3 linked regions of the Macaca fascicularis genome follow. The protein of the gene in region 3 interacts with the protein of the main gene of each other region in a biochemical or structural test. Links are inferred from orthologs where the notes say so. Each region holds a gene or a part of one and is shown on either strand. Other genes may lie near its edges.

Region 1 (4,614 bases), on a different chromosome or scaffold from region 3:
GCTTCTTGAGCACACTCTCTTGCTCATGGCTGATCATCTCCCTCAGCTCCAGCCTGGTCTCCTTGGTCCCACTGCTGTGGTCATTGGAGAAGACGACAAAGAAGGGCAGGTTTCTGGAACCTGGGGGGACACTGATGTCCAGCTTGTCACAGCCCTTCCTGTGGCTCTCCACAGTCACTTCCAGCTTATTTTTGCTCTTGGTGGAGTCGGACCGGACCCAACGCTTCACGGCGCTGGACACTTCCAAGGTCTCCCAGCCCTCATCCCGAATGTCCTGGGACACCAGGAAGGTCTTGGTCTCCGCAGCACTATCCCAGGCATCTGTTCCATCCAGAACATCATAAATGACCATGCTTCCTTTCAGGTCGTGAGAGTGGTCCATGTGATTTTGACAGGAGACATAGAGTCGGAGCTCAGCTCTGGTGATCTGCTCGTGCCTGGGAATGGAGATGTTGAAGAGCAAGATGTGCTTCTGGAAGGGGAAGTCCTCCGTGGCAGTCATGGAGATGGCATCTGAAATGCAAACACACCTGGTGGGCATCTGCCGAAGGGTCTGTTTCCATGACACTGAAGCTGAGTCTCAGGGTTTAGACAGAAGAGCATCTGGGATAACAGTTTTGGTCTGTATTATCTCTATTTGGTTTCACCCAAGCCCTTAAGGTATAAGAGTATTTTCAAAGGTATACTTAAGATCTTCCAAAGAAAAGCAAAGGCAGGAGATGCCTCTAATTGGGATTGACAGTTCCTACTGTTTATTGAGCATCTACTGTGTGCCAGGCATTACACTGGGAGCTTTGCAGTGTAAATTTCACCTTAATCCTCGCACTCACCCTGGGAGGATCTAATTATTATTCCACATTTGCAGATGTGGAGACTGGGATTCAAGGCAGTTAATTGCCAAAATGCACGCAGCTAGTTAAGTATCCTGGGACTTACTAGCACACAGCTAGTGAGTACATAAAGAAAACAGCAAAACTCACTGTCAGATCCTGAGTGAAGATCCTGAGTACACGAATTTAAAGGCAAGATCCTGGGTAGGGACAGTGAAATCCCAATATTAAGACAATATCAAAAATCTCAGCCTCTAAACAGTGTATGCATCATTTGAAATTGTAATTTCTGAACAAAGCATAAGTGATTAATTGGTTTTAGTGTTTCAGGAAAAAAATCTATTAGCTTCAATTGCTTTGTCATGTCAAGCAAAAATGGGGCTTGCCTTTTAGCCACATAGTTAACTCAATATCCCATTTATCCTGGGCTGACACTTTGTCGTTAGCACACTCCTGCTATACCACGGCTGGTTCACAGACAGGGAAAAGAGGTTGCATTTTCTGGGCACTTGCTATGCGCCCACATGTGTGGAGACCCGGTGCTATAGGGAAACCTAGCTGGCAGGTTTTGAAGTGCCAGTCCTGCCTCTGCAGACTGGTTAGCTCTGGCCTGGATGCGGTATGGAGCCAGGCCCCTAAGCCATTTGCAAGTCTCAGACCCAGGAGGGGAGAGGCTCTGTGCTCCTGGACATTCAGAGGGAGACGGCAGCAGCAGGAAAAGCCGGCTGTGCAGACGGACAGGCCTGGGTCAGAATCCAGCGGCTTAACACTTCCTAGGTGACATGGGTGGGAACCCTTGGTGGCTGCAAGTTTTGACTGAACAGTTTCACTGTTCAGAAACTTATTTCCCCCTGCATCATGTGAGCTTGACTGAGTTAGGACATAGGTCCTAGGTCCGTGTTTGTTATCTTCTAGTCCTTCTAAATCAGATACATTTCTATTTAAAAACAATTAGGTTCTCTTTCAACACTTCTCTGTCAAAGAATTTCATCTGATTTTTAAAACCCTTTCACAAGAAAGGAATAACTGTGCTTTCAAAGTTTAAAAATATACCAGTTAGTTGGAGGTGAAATAGGTTGTCTGTTTTGTTTTGAAGTAGGAAGGGGACAGGAAGGGAAGGGGAAAAGGAAGAGAAGTGAATCAGAGGGGAGAGATGGAAAGAAGAGGAGAGTAAACAGAAGGGGTGGAAAAAAGGGAGCTGGCATCCCTGTGCACATGCTGTGTGAAATGTGGCACACAGCCTGGGGAAGGTGAATCCTTCAGAGCAGAAGCGCCGAGTAGAACTCTCAGTGACCATGGAAATGTTCTGCAGTCTGCACTGCCTGATAGGGAAGCCATTAGCCACACATTTGAAAGGAAGCTGGTGAGGCTAAAGAACTAAGTTTTAATTTTATTTCATTGTAACTAATTTAAATGGAAGCTTGAAGAGCCTCCTATGACCAGCGGCCTCCACCCTGGTGAAAGCAGCTGTGGACCTGTGAGTCCTACCCCAGCGCATCCGGTGCAAGCGGAGACCCTACCTTCCATGCTGAAGCTCCGCACGATGTTGGACGCTGGCGTAGTCGACTTATCAGACGTGTACCTGTTGTACAGATCGATCATGTACTGCGGTGGCTCCACCCTGGTTTTGTCCTGCGAAGGGACCCCGCTCAGGTTAAGGCTGCGCAAGAAATCCACCTTCATGTTCTCCAGAAACATCTTCAGGTTGAAAGTGTGCTCCGGCAGCTCACCTCCAGGCACCCCCAGTGGGTTGTGGGCAGTTCCCCCAGCAGACCCTCGCCCCCAGCTCTGCAGTGGCTTCCCCTGCAGGGAGCCGGCCAGCAGGGACAGCAGGGGCAGGGCCACCCATAGTGCCCCAGGACACATCTTGGGCCCACGCAATCACCCAGAGAGGAGACTGCAGGCGGCCGTACTGTGTTAGCGGGCACGGGGAGGAGCCGGGAAGGAGCGGGTCGGCATCTCCCTGCTGTTTGCTCTGAAGGAACCGTCCTGGCCAGCGCCCACTTTCGCCCGCTGCCGGGCTGGATTGTCCTCCACTTGTGCTTATCTGGTCCTCGATGCCGCGCTCCGACGTCTTATCTGAGGGAGCCTTCCGTTAATGAAGGCTCTATAAACATCTGACAAACACACAGGGCATGTGGGAAGGACACGGCCTACTGTAAGGAATCTGTGCTTCTCCAGGGGGTTATTGCCCCCTAATTAGGATCCTTTCTCATTTCCTTGCCAGGGGTCTTCAGAAGAATCTCCAGGCAGGGTGACATATGCTCCATCTCCTGGGCCACAGTAGTGAAGAATCCAGGAAACAAGACCAAGAAGCCCTCCAAATATAGAAAGGACAGCGCAAGAGCACAGTGAACTGTGGGGGCTGGGGAGATGGGGAGAGTGTGGGGACCACATCAAGGCTCAGAAGAGGCCTGCTCCTTACAGAGTCGGAACCTGCGAGCAAGGCTCCCTGCTCTGTTGGTGGGATGCATTGCTGAGCATTAGAGATCACGAGTGAATATGGCTCTCGTGCAATTTAGTGTGGTGATAAGTCAGACTAGACAGAGGCTGGGATCTCAGCTCCCTCACCGATTCCCTGCAAATGTCACCTGGAACAAGTCACCGCACTCTACGAGCCTCCCATTCAGAAGATAGTTGTAGGGGTTAAGAGGATGCTGTGCCCCAGGCTGGCTTGGTGGCAGCATTCTGGATGCCCCTTCTCCAGCCCACACCTGATTGAGCTGGAGCCCCGGGTTCCCCCAGCCTGCTCTGTCAGAGCTCCACAACACACTGCAGCCTGCAGGGAGCTCCCCACATCCCTGCATCCCAGCTCTGGCACTGGCCTGTTGTGGGGTGGTCTTAGCTCACATTGACTTGGCAGCCACCTGGCCCACACTCATCAGCAGGGAGAACCACGCAATCTGGTAGACAGGGGAGTAGGTGAGTTGTTCTGAGACTGGTACATGCCAAGAAGATGATCCCCTGGCCTTTGGAGGCTGACAAGCTGTGGCCCAGGAAAGGGCCCTAGGGACTGTGTTAAGAGCAGTGTGTCCACACTTAAGACTCTGTCCATTTCCATCATGTGTGGCTTTGAGTACAGCAAAGAAGGAGCATGGTTAGAAATACTCCAGGGTATGCTGTGCCTGGTGGTTTACTCTGGGGAAGATGCTCCATGCTGGTGAGGCTGTCGGGGAGAGGTTGCAGAGAGCTGAGCAGGTTTAGTGGGGTGCAGGAGGGGCCACAGCATGCTGTGGTCAGATTGCAGAGGAGGATGGGTGAAATCAGGAGCCCCTGAATGGCTGGGCCTGGACAGAACTTGCTATCTCTGTCCTTTGATGACATGGGCCAGGGGAAGACGGGAAGCGTGCTGCTTCAGAAATGCTGCTTGGGAAGAGGACTGGAAGTGCGCTGGGCTTTGATCCAGCTCAGCGCAAGAATTCCATGGGGCAGAGAAAAGATGAATAAATGGGTGCCATGCCCAAGAAATGGAGCTGCAAATGCAGAGTGGGGTGTGGTCTGGGAGGAGTGAGGACAGGGCAGATGCCTGCATCGTGGTCTGACCAGGAGCTTTTCACACATGAGAGGCTGAGCAGAGTATGAATAGCCTAGGGGCCTGGATGTGCTCTAGTAGGAGCAAGGCGCTGCTACCTGATGTTATTTTTCAAATGTGACATTTTTTCCCAGTTATAACAGTAGTCTATAGTGCAGAAAGCTTGGGAAATGGAAAACATTGTTAAAGAGAAAATAAATAACCTACAGTTTAATCATCCAGTGATGCTCATGGTTAGCATTTTGAGACACA
Region 2 (4,482 bases), on a different chromosome or scaffold from region 3:
AGCATAACAAGTGTTGTTGCAGTGAAATGTACAAAAGGGGTAATTGGCCCTGTCTGGGGACCAGGAAAGACTTCCCGAAGGAGGTGAATTTTCAGCTAAACTTCTCAGGATGTGGAGTGCTTCCTCCAGTTGTGGGAGAGAGAGAGGAGGAGATTTCAGGTGAAGTGAACAGCTTTCCCCGCTGACCCTGGGGTAAGTTGCCCAGGGGCTCTATCGCACAGGTCCCCCAGAGGAAGGGAGCTTCCATACTTCAATGGGTTTTCATTTAGAATACTCGAGTTCAGCTGGAATTCAGAACTTCCAGACTTACCAGAAAAGCATCATGTGGGAAATTGTGCCGGGCGCAGTGGCTCACGCCTATAATCTCAGCGCTCTAGGAGACCGAGGCAGCTGGATCACGATGTCAGGAGATGGAGACCATCCTGGCTAACACGGTGAAACCCCGTCTGTGCTACAAACATAAAAAATCAGCCGGGCGTGGTGGCGGGGGCCTGTAGTCCCAGCTACTCGGGAGGCTGAGTCGGGAGAACGGCGTGAACCTGGGAGGCGGAGCTTGCAGGGAGCCGAGATCGCGCCACTGCACTCCAGCCTGGGCTACACAGCGAGACTCCGTAGAAAAAAAGAAAAAAGAAAAAAGAAAAGCATCATGTGGGAAATGGCTTTTCCAGCCTCCTGTAGGGGCCGCTGCTGCCCCAGACTCAGCCAGTCTCTTCTAAGAAAACTCGGAGGACGTCTTTGCCGGGGTGGAGGTGGGGTACACCCTGGACCTGCCGCCATCCAAGGAGTGGACTTAAGGGCGGCAGTGCCCCCAAGCCTGAAGAATATGCACTCAGTCAATGGCATTTGGTGGTAGGGAGGGGGTGTAGTGGGCACAGATATTTTTCAGTCTCTGGGTCACCACAAGTTTATTAAAATAAAAGAAAATGTGGGTAAATGCTGCCATCTGTGCTGTCCCTACTCCCAATACACACACACACACACACACACACACACACACACAGAGGCACACACACACAGACACACATAAACACACACATACAACAAATCAGGTCCCAGGCTAGATGCAGGAGTTGAAACTGCTTTAAAAACACTCTAAGGACTTAACTACAAACCCACACTCCCCATGCTTCTGGGGCTTAAGATCTTTGAGCTCATTCTTCAGCATCTCTCCTTGGGAAGGTGGGGTGGGCTGCTCCATGAGGTGGAGGTGAAGACCCCTGAGTCTGCTCCATGGAGGGGGAGGCCCCCTAAGCCTAGAGTCCCGCTGCGGGGCTCTGTGCCAAGAGCCCCCGTGAGCCATGGCCTCGAAAGGGCAGCGGTGATTTTTTTCACATAAATATATCGCACTTAAATGAGTTTAGACAGCATGACATCAGAGAGTAATTAAATTGGTTTGGGTTGGAATTCCGTTTCCAATTCCTGAGTTCAGGTTTGTAAAAGATTTTTCTGAGCACCTGCAGGCCTGTGTGTGTGTGTGTGTGTGTGTGTGTGTGAAGTATTTTCACTGGAAAGGATTCAAAACTAGGGGGAAAAAAAAACTGGAGCACACAGGCAGCATTACGCCATTCTTCCTTCTTGGAAAAATCCCTCAGCCTTATACAAGCCTCCTTCAAGCCCTCAGTCAGTTGTGCAGGAGAAAGGGGGCGGTCGGCTTTCTCCTTTCAAGAACAAGTTATTTTCAGCTGCTGACTGGAGACGGTGCACGTCTGGATACGAGAGCATTTCCACTATGGGACTGGATACAAACACACACCCGGCAGACTTCAAGAGTCTCAGACTGAGGAGAAAGCCTTTCCTTCTGCTGCTACTGCTGCTGCCGCTGCTTTTGAAAGTCCACTCCTTTCATGGTTTTTCCTGCCAAACCAGAGGCACCTTCGCTGCTGCCGCTGTTCTCTTTGGTGTCATTCAGCGGCTGGCCAGAGGATGAGACTCCCCAAACTCCTCACTTTCTTGCTTTGGTACCTGGCTTGGCTGGACCTGGAATTCATCTGCACTGTGTTGGGTGCCCCTGACTGGGGCCAGAAAGCCCAGGGGACCAGGCCAGGATTGGCCAAAGCAGAGGCCAAGGAGAGGCCCCCCCTGGCCCGGAACGTCTTCAGGCCAGGGGGTCACAGCTATGGTGGGGGGGCCGCCAATGCCAGGGCAAAGGGAGGCACCGGGCACACAGGAGGCCTGACACAGCCCAAAAAGGATGAACCCAAAAAGCTGCCCCCCAGACCGGGTGGCCCTGAACCCAAGCCAGGACACCCTCCCCAAACAAGGCAGGCTACAGCCCGGACTGTGACCCCAAAAGGACAGCTTCCCGGGGGCAAGGTACCCCCAAAAGCAGGATCTGTCCCCAGCTCCTTCCTGCTGAAGAAGGCCAGGGAGCCCGGGTCCCCGCGAGAGCCCAAGGAGCCGTTCCGCCCGCCCCCCATCACACCCCACGAGTACATGCTCTCGCTGTACAGGACGCTGTCCGATGCTGACAGAAAGGGAGGCAACAGCAGCGTGAAGTTGGAGGCTGGCCTGGCCAACACCATCACCAGCTTTATTGACAAAGGGCAAGGTGAGGGGGCGGGGTGGCAGGGGCACGGCTCAGAGGGAGGGGCATCTGCATGAATGGAGGGGCTTTCAAAGCCCTGGCACTGCCCTGGTGGGAGACACTGTGTGCATCTGGCCCGGGGTGGGTGTATGGGGACGCTCACACATATCTCACACATAGCAGATCCCGAGCTGCCCACACATCAGGGCTGGAGGGCACCTAGGAATCACCAGGTTCAATGCCTGCAAGGTGCAGGGCGGGCACTAAAGCCTAGAGAGGAGACAACACCTGCCAGTTGGTGGCAGAGTTGGAGACCGGATTCCAAGACTTGATTCCCCAGCTGTGCATCTGTCCCTGCTGGGCTGGCCGAACTTTCCACGCTCCAGGGGTTTGTAGGTGGTCTCAGATGGCAGAGAAAGAAATGAATCTTGAGGTCCCCGTGGTTCTGCAACTTTGCCCTCAGGCAAGGGGATAGAGGAGGCAAGAGAGGTGCTCACAGTAAATGGGGCATCTTGGAGTCATGGAATGATGTTCGAATATATGGGGAGGGAGCAGACCTAGGGTCTAACTCGCAGTGTGACCTTGGGAAAGCCCCTTCTCACTTGGGGTCTCTGTTTTCCCATCTGTACACCTATATGGGGTTGGACAGGGTGGTTTCTGAGAGCGCTTCCGACATGAAAACTTTAGGTCCTGTCCTGAACACGCCTCATTCTCCTTACATTAACTCGGGAGACCTCTCTCTGCTCCCCTCTGTCTCTCTCTGCCCACCTAGTGTTACTGTTGCAGCTTTTCCTCTCCACTTGCTGTGTGATCTAAGCAAGTCCCTCCCGCTCTGAGGGCCTCAGTTTCTTCCTAGTGTGAAGAGGGAGGTGGGCTGTTGGTCGCTCAAGTTGCCTGCAGCTCATTTGCTCTGGTCCTAGGCTGGCAGGGTGGGGGAGGGGTCAGAGGGTGGGAGAGGTTTCTCATTAGAGCTGGCCTGGAGGGGGCTGCCGGGGCGGGGGGTGGGGGGGTGGGAGAGGCACAGAGGCAGCAGGTCTGGCTGAGGTGGGGGAGGTGGTCTGGCTGCCTGCCCAGCCAGGGAAAGCTGTGACCCCTTGGGGGCTCATAAAATAAGTCCTTGTGCCCCCCAGCACTAAGGGAGCTTCGAGAGGGGGAGATGGGGAGTTTAAAGGCCTAATTAGTCACCTTCTAGAGCAATATATGAAAGCTCCCCAATGGCAAATTGGTATTCAGGAAGGAGGGCATGCTGATTCAGAGATACTACTGAGCTTCTCACATAAACATACATAGCCTTATGTTTATACAGACGTGCTGAATCACACATGTACACGCATGCTGACTCACACACGTACACACATGCTGAACCACACATGTACACACATGCCGAATCACACATGTACACGCATGCCGAATCACACACGTACGCATGTGCACACACACCTTCTTACATACACGTGTACACAAGATCGATTATGCACATACATACATATATGTGCTCTTCAAATAGTACACAAGCCCAATCATTTATACATATAATGCATCATTAACGTATACTCTTTCATATTCACACATGAACCCAACATTAACGTATACTCTTTCATATTCACACATGAACCTAATCACACACACACATACAACTGTAACACACGCACACACTCAGGAGAGTAAGACACATAGGCAACAAAATCCTTGCACTGGGAAGCCAGGAAAATTGGGCTGTAGGTCAGTGTGGACCAGCTTTGACATTAAGTTGCTGTGTGACCTTAGTCAAGTCACTCCCCATCTCTGTGCCTCATCTGTAAAACAAGAGCACTAAGGTCTCCTTTAAGGGATGGTGGAAGCAACTGAGAATTTGAGCAAGTCATCTAACTTCTCTGAACCTTGGGATTCTCCTCCAGAAAAGCATGGGTTTTTTTTGTTGTTGTTGTTTATTTGTTTTGTTGTTGTTTGTTTGTTTG
Region 3 (4,362 bases):
GGTTGAGGCCAGAGAATCGCTTGAACCTGGGAGGCAGAGGTTGCAGTGAGCCGAAATCTCGCCACTGCACTGCAGCCTGGGTGACAGAGCAAGAGTCCGTCTCAATAAATAAATAAATAATACCTAAATAAATAAAGCTAATGAATCAAAGCATATGCTCTTCGTCTTTTTAAGGGATTTTACTAGGTAGATTTTTTTTTCTCTGTCTAAAGGGTAAACAGTATAAACATATTTCAACTAAAAAGAGTCTTAGAATCCGGAGTTGGTATTGCTACAACCCCTAATTATGGAAGATGTTTAGTATAACAGAACCAGTTTAAGGAATGTGGAGATTTATTTACATCAAATTCAGATAAAGAGAGAATAGCAGACTCGAAGAAGCAAGCAGAGCATGACTTAAGGAGTCTATGACTGTATCTGTGGAACTGCCCTTAGCCTCAATAAAAGATCAGCAAAACCAGCCTTCAGCATAACCCTCCTGCCTGGTGGGAGATGGGAAGGCCAGACTTCACCCCTCAAGATCGCCCTCCCACGCGCATTTTCCACCTCGCAGCTAAGAATTCAGTCCAGACTTCCGATCATGGCGCCACGCACGTCACCTTCTCCCCTCGCCGCCGGCAAAATCCCACCCACGTCGGCTGACCCCGCAGCGGGGTGTAAGGGCGGGAGGGATGCTGGTCGCTTGTACAAACCAGATCGAAAAAACGCACTACACAAATCCTTGGAAACTGCGGTACCAACGGGATCTTCTCAATTACTTGAGTGCAAAATGATCCCACTCTCTATCCTGACATAACTCTAGCTCAATTTTCTTTTCACGTGCCCTAAAAAGCCCTCAAGGCCCCCAGCCTTGTGAATCCAGGCCCTCTCTCGGGGTGGACACCGCGCTGTACGGACAGACGCGCGCACACAGCGGGATGATTTATAGATTAAAAGTCTTTTTCTCTCTCTCTCTCTGGCTTCGCATCCTTGCAAATACTCAATATTCCTGTCAACTAAGAAGGCTAAGGGAATGGGCGGTTGAGGAAAGCAGGACGTCGATTACAGCAAACACATCAAAGGGGGAGGGGGTCTTTCCAATTCCGGCTTTTGTTTGAGTCAGAGGGGAGCCTGAGGAGGCCAAGGTCTCCGGTTCTGGGAAAGGCGGGTCCATCCGGATTCTTTGGGCTGCGGAGAGGGAGGCTCCAGCGCCGTGAAACAACAGAGGGCAGTTCTGCCCCTCGAGGCTTTCCTCCGAGAGTACTGAGAAGGAGACGCCTCAGTCGGGAGAAATCCCGGAATCGGAGGAGTCTGCTAAACGCCTAACAAAAAGATGTGGCCGCCCTCTCTTAAACAAATACGCGAATCCCAAGCCTTGCACGTTTGGAAGTCATGTGTGTGTAAAGGAGAAAGGCCACCGCTGCCCACCGCGGCCCCACCCAGCCCTCGGCCATTCAAGGGACAGACGCGCCGCGCTGGGGCCTCGGAGCCCTCAACCAGCCCGGGACGAGGGGCGGGGCCGGGCGGGGTCGTGAGCGCGCAGGCGCAGTGCGGGCTTCATCCTGCCGCCGGCGCCGCCGCCGCCGCCCGCGCTGCACCACAGGCCAGAGACAGACAGGGCCGGGAAGAGCCGTAGACTGAGGAGGAGGCGGAGGCGGCGGCGGAGGCGGGGCGACTCCGGTGACCGGGAGCGCCGCAGACTCGCAGCTGCGGCGACTCCCCCCTTTGTGTCTGGTCTGCTCGGAGCCACTGGAAGTGCTTCCCGGAGGGACGCAGGGTGTCTCGCCGCCTCACTGCCCACTCCCTTCCCCGGCTACCTTCATCCGCCCTCCCGCCGCCCCCCGCCCTCGGTCCGCGACGCCCGAGCTCCTCCCGGAGCCCAGAGCTGCGGGAGAACGAGGCGGTGGCGGCGGCGGCGGCGGCGGCGGCTTCCTCGGGGGGTTGTGATTCGCTCACAGGAGCCATTGACGGGAGAAGACGAGGCTTTCATGGTGGAATTTACCTCAGGCAAGATGGAGCGGCAGGAATAAAAAGCGAGGAAGGGAAGGGAGCGCCGCCAGAGGGCTAGGAGGGGCAGCCTCTCGCACCCCGTCCGCCCGCGGTCTCGGGGAGCCCGGGCCGGGGCCGCGACCCCTCCCCTCCCCCGCTCCTACGTTTCCTCAGCCTTCGCCAGGGCCTCCCCGACCCTCTCACGGTTGTTCCGCGAAGGCGTGGGGACTGTGAGCTTGTCATGGAGGCAGGCACCTTTTTGGATCCAGTCAAGGAAGAGGATTTGTTGTTTTCGAAATCAGAGTGAAGGAAGCACCGAAGCGAAACTTAAGGAATCCTGCCTTCCCGGAGCCGCGGGCGATGCGACTCGGGCTGCCGGGCGCCGCCGCCGCCCGCCCGGCTTCGTCCTTCCCGACAGTCAGGAACTAGTTCTGACCCTCGCCCCCCGGATCCGGATCGAATCCCCGCCCTCCGCACCCTGGATATGTTTTCTCCCAGACCTGGATATTTTTTTGATATCGTGAAACTACGAGGGAAATAACTTGGGAGATTTCTTCTTGGCTCCCTGCTTTCCCCACAGACATGCCTTCAGTTTGGAGGGCCGCGGCACCCCGTCCGAGGCGAAGGAACACCCCCAGCCGCAGGGGAGAGAAATGAAGGGAATTTCTGCAGCGGCATGAAAGCTCTGCAGCTAGGTCCTCTCATCTGCCATTTGTCCTTTCAAACTGCATTGTGATACGGGCAGGATCAGTCCACGGGAGAGAAGACGAGCCTCCCGGCTGATTCTCCGCCTCTCTACTTCCCATATTTCTTTTCTTTGCCCTCCTGCTTCTTGGCTGGCCCAGGGATGACTTCCTCGCTGCAGCGGCCCTGGCGGGTGCCCTGGCTACCATGGACCATCCTGCTGGTCAGCACTGCGGCCGGTGAGTAGCTCCGGCCGGCGCGTCCCGGCCACTTCCCCTGCGGGTGGCGAGGGAGGGAGCCCGCAGAGGCCGAGGCCTGTGCTCGCCCTTCGTCACGCGTCCCTCCGATCGCGGAGCTGCGAACCGGTGCCGGCGCGCCTGCCCCATGCCTTCCAGGGAAATCGCCTTTAATATTCCTGTGTATTTTCCTATCCCCACTTCCATATTCCCACCCCACCCCCCTTCACGGGGTGAAAAAGACATATTGGGTGTGGTATCTTGACATTTTTAGCTGTGAGGTAATGCAACGATTAAAAATAATATTTTAATCACCAGTGAAGGGTCTATTATGAGGTCTCTGAAAACAGACCTGTAGATTTTTAAAATTATTATTATAAAGAAGCGGTTTTGGCTTACAGTAAAAAGAACATCAACTAGAGAACACACACTTGAACCTTATTTTGAGATTTAGATCACTCTGGAATCCATGTTCCTTTCATTATTCAGAAATTTTACCGAATGAATAGAATAAATGTTGAGGAAGCCGGAACTGTGAGATTCTTGATATATTGTATTATACGGTTTGATAAGTTTACTGTTAGTCACCTGGCATCTCTCTGTTGGCTTTGCTGTCGAGACAACTTTGACCTGACATTAGACTTCTAGGAGATTTGACTCCGAAAGTTCTTTGACATTTCATTAAAGTCTAAAGGGTGGTAGTCATCCTTTCTTTTGGATATTTTCATTTCAGTTCTCAGAAACCTTAGGAAAAAGACTACATCTTCTATTTGCAACTATTTTTTCAAGCAGTCTTTTGGTGATTTGCTTTTAGAAATTTTGAGAAGTGAATTCTACATGTAACTCGTACACTTGGTTTATGATGGGCAAATGGATTGTGCTTTTAAAACGAGTAAAGGACCAAATTACCCTTTCGAATTACTTTTTTCTTTTGATAAGTGTGTTTCACATTAAACAAATTTCTCATTGCTATGTTAGATACAGAGGTTATTTGCTTAATTTGGTTTTAAAAGTCTGACCTAGGAAAATGCCGAAAGAAAATTTGAAGTTTCCTTTTATGCTTTTGATATTGTTGAATAATGTCTACTGTTGATTAATGTCTGTTAAATTGATGATAAATCTATATGGTTCTGTTAAAATAATTTGAACTTCTGAATTTACTTTAAAACTGATATTTTAATATTTTTAATAATTGTAGTTGCTTTCAGAGTAAAAATGATTTTTCTCCAAATTTCTTTTTTTTTTTTTTTTGAGACGGAGTCTTGCTCTGTCACCCAGGCTGGAGTGCAGTGGCCGGATCTCAGCTCACTGCAAGCTCCGCCTCCCGGGTTCACGCCATTCTCCTGCCTCAGCCTCCCGAGTAGCTGGGACTACAGGCGCCCGCCACCGCGCCCGGCTAGTTTTTTGTATTTTTTAGTAGAGACGGGGTTTCACCGTGTTAGCCAAGATGGTCTCGATCTCCTGACCTCGTGAT

What was found. The genes of interacting proteins can lie anywhere in the genome.
Region 1: the proteins of BMPR2 (region 3) and GDF2 form a complex in vitro, tested with the Homo sapiens proteins (2 studies listed by BioGRID). The link is inferred for Macaca fascicularis from reciprocal best matches to the Homo sapiens genes BMPR2 and GDF2.
Region 2: the proteins of BMPR2 (region 3) and GDF5 form a complex in vitro, tested with the Homo sapiens proteins (2 studies listed by BioGRID and IntAct, with this or other methods). The link is inferred for Macaca fascicularis from reciprocal best matches to the Homo sapiens genes BMPR2 and GDF5.

The regions. Positions count from the first base shown.
Region 1 is NC_088383.1:56,914,089-56,918,702, forward strand, and holds the start of GDF2 (growth/differentiation factor 2), read right to left. Parts: upstream 2,912-4,614; 5' UTR 2,697-2,911; coding exon 2,351-2,696; intron 514-2,350; coding exon 1-513. UniProt on the Homo sapiens protein: Potent circulating inhibitor of angiogenesis. Signals through the type I activin receptor ACVRL1 but not other Alks. Signaling through SMAD1 in endothelial cells requires TGF-beta coreceptor endoglin/ENG.
Region 2 is NC_088384.1:91,491,707-91,496,188, reverse strand, and holds the start of GDF5 (growth/differentiation factor 5), read left to right. Parts: upstream 1-1,571; 5' UTR 1,572-1,923; coding exon 1,924-2,548; intron 2,549-4,482. UniProt on the Homo sapiens protein: Growth factor involved in bone and cartilage formation. During cartilage development regulates differentiation of chondrogenic tissue through two pathways.
Region 3 is NC_088386.1:98,234,449-98,238,810, forward strand, and holds the start of BMPR2 (bone morphogenetic protein receptor type-2), read left to right. Parts: upstream 1-1,538; 5' UTR 1,539-2,815; coding exon 2,816-2,891; intron 2,892-4,362. UniProt on the Homo sapiens protein: On ligand binding, forms a receptor complex consisting of two type II and two type I transmembrane serine/threonine kinases.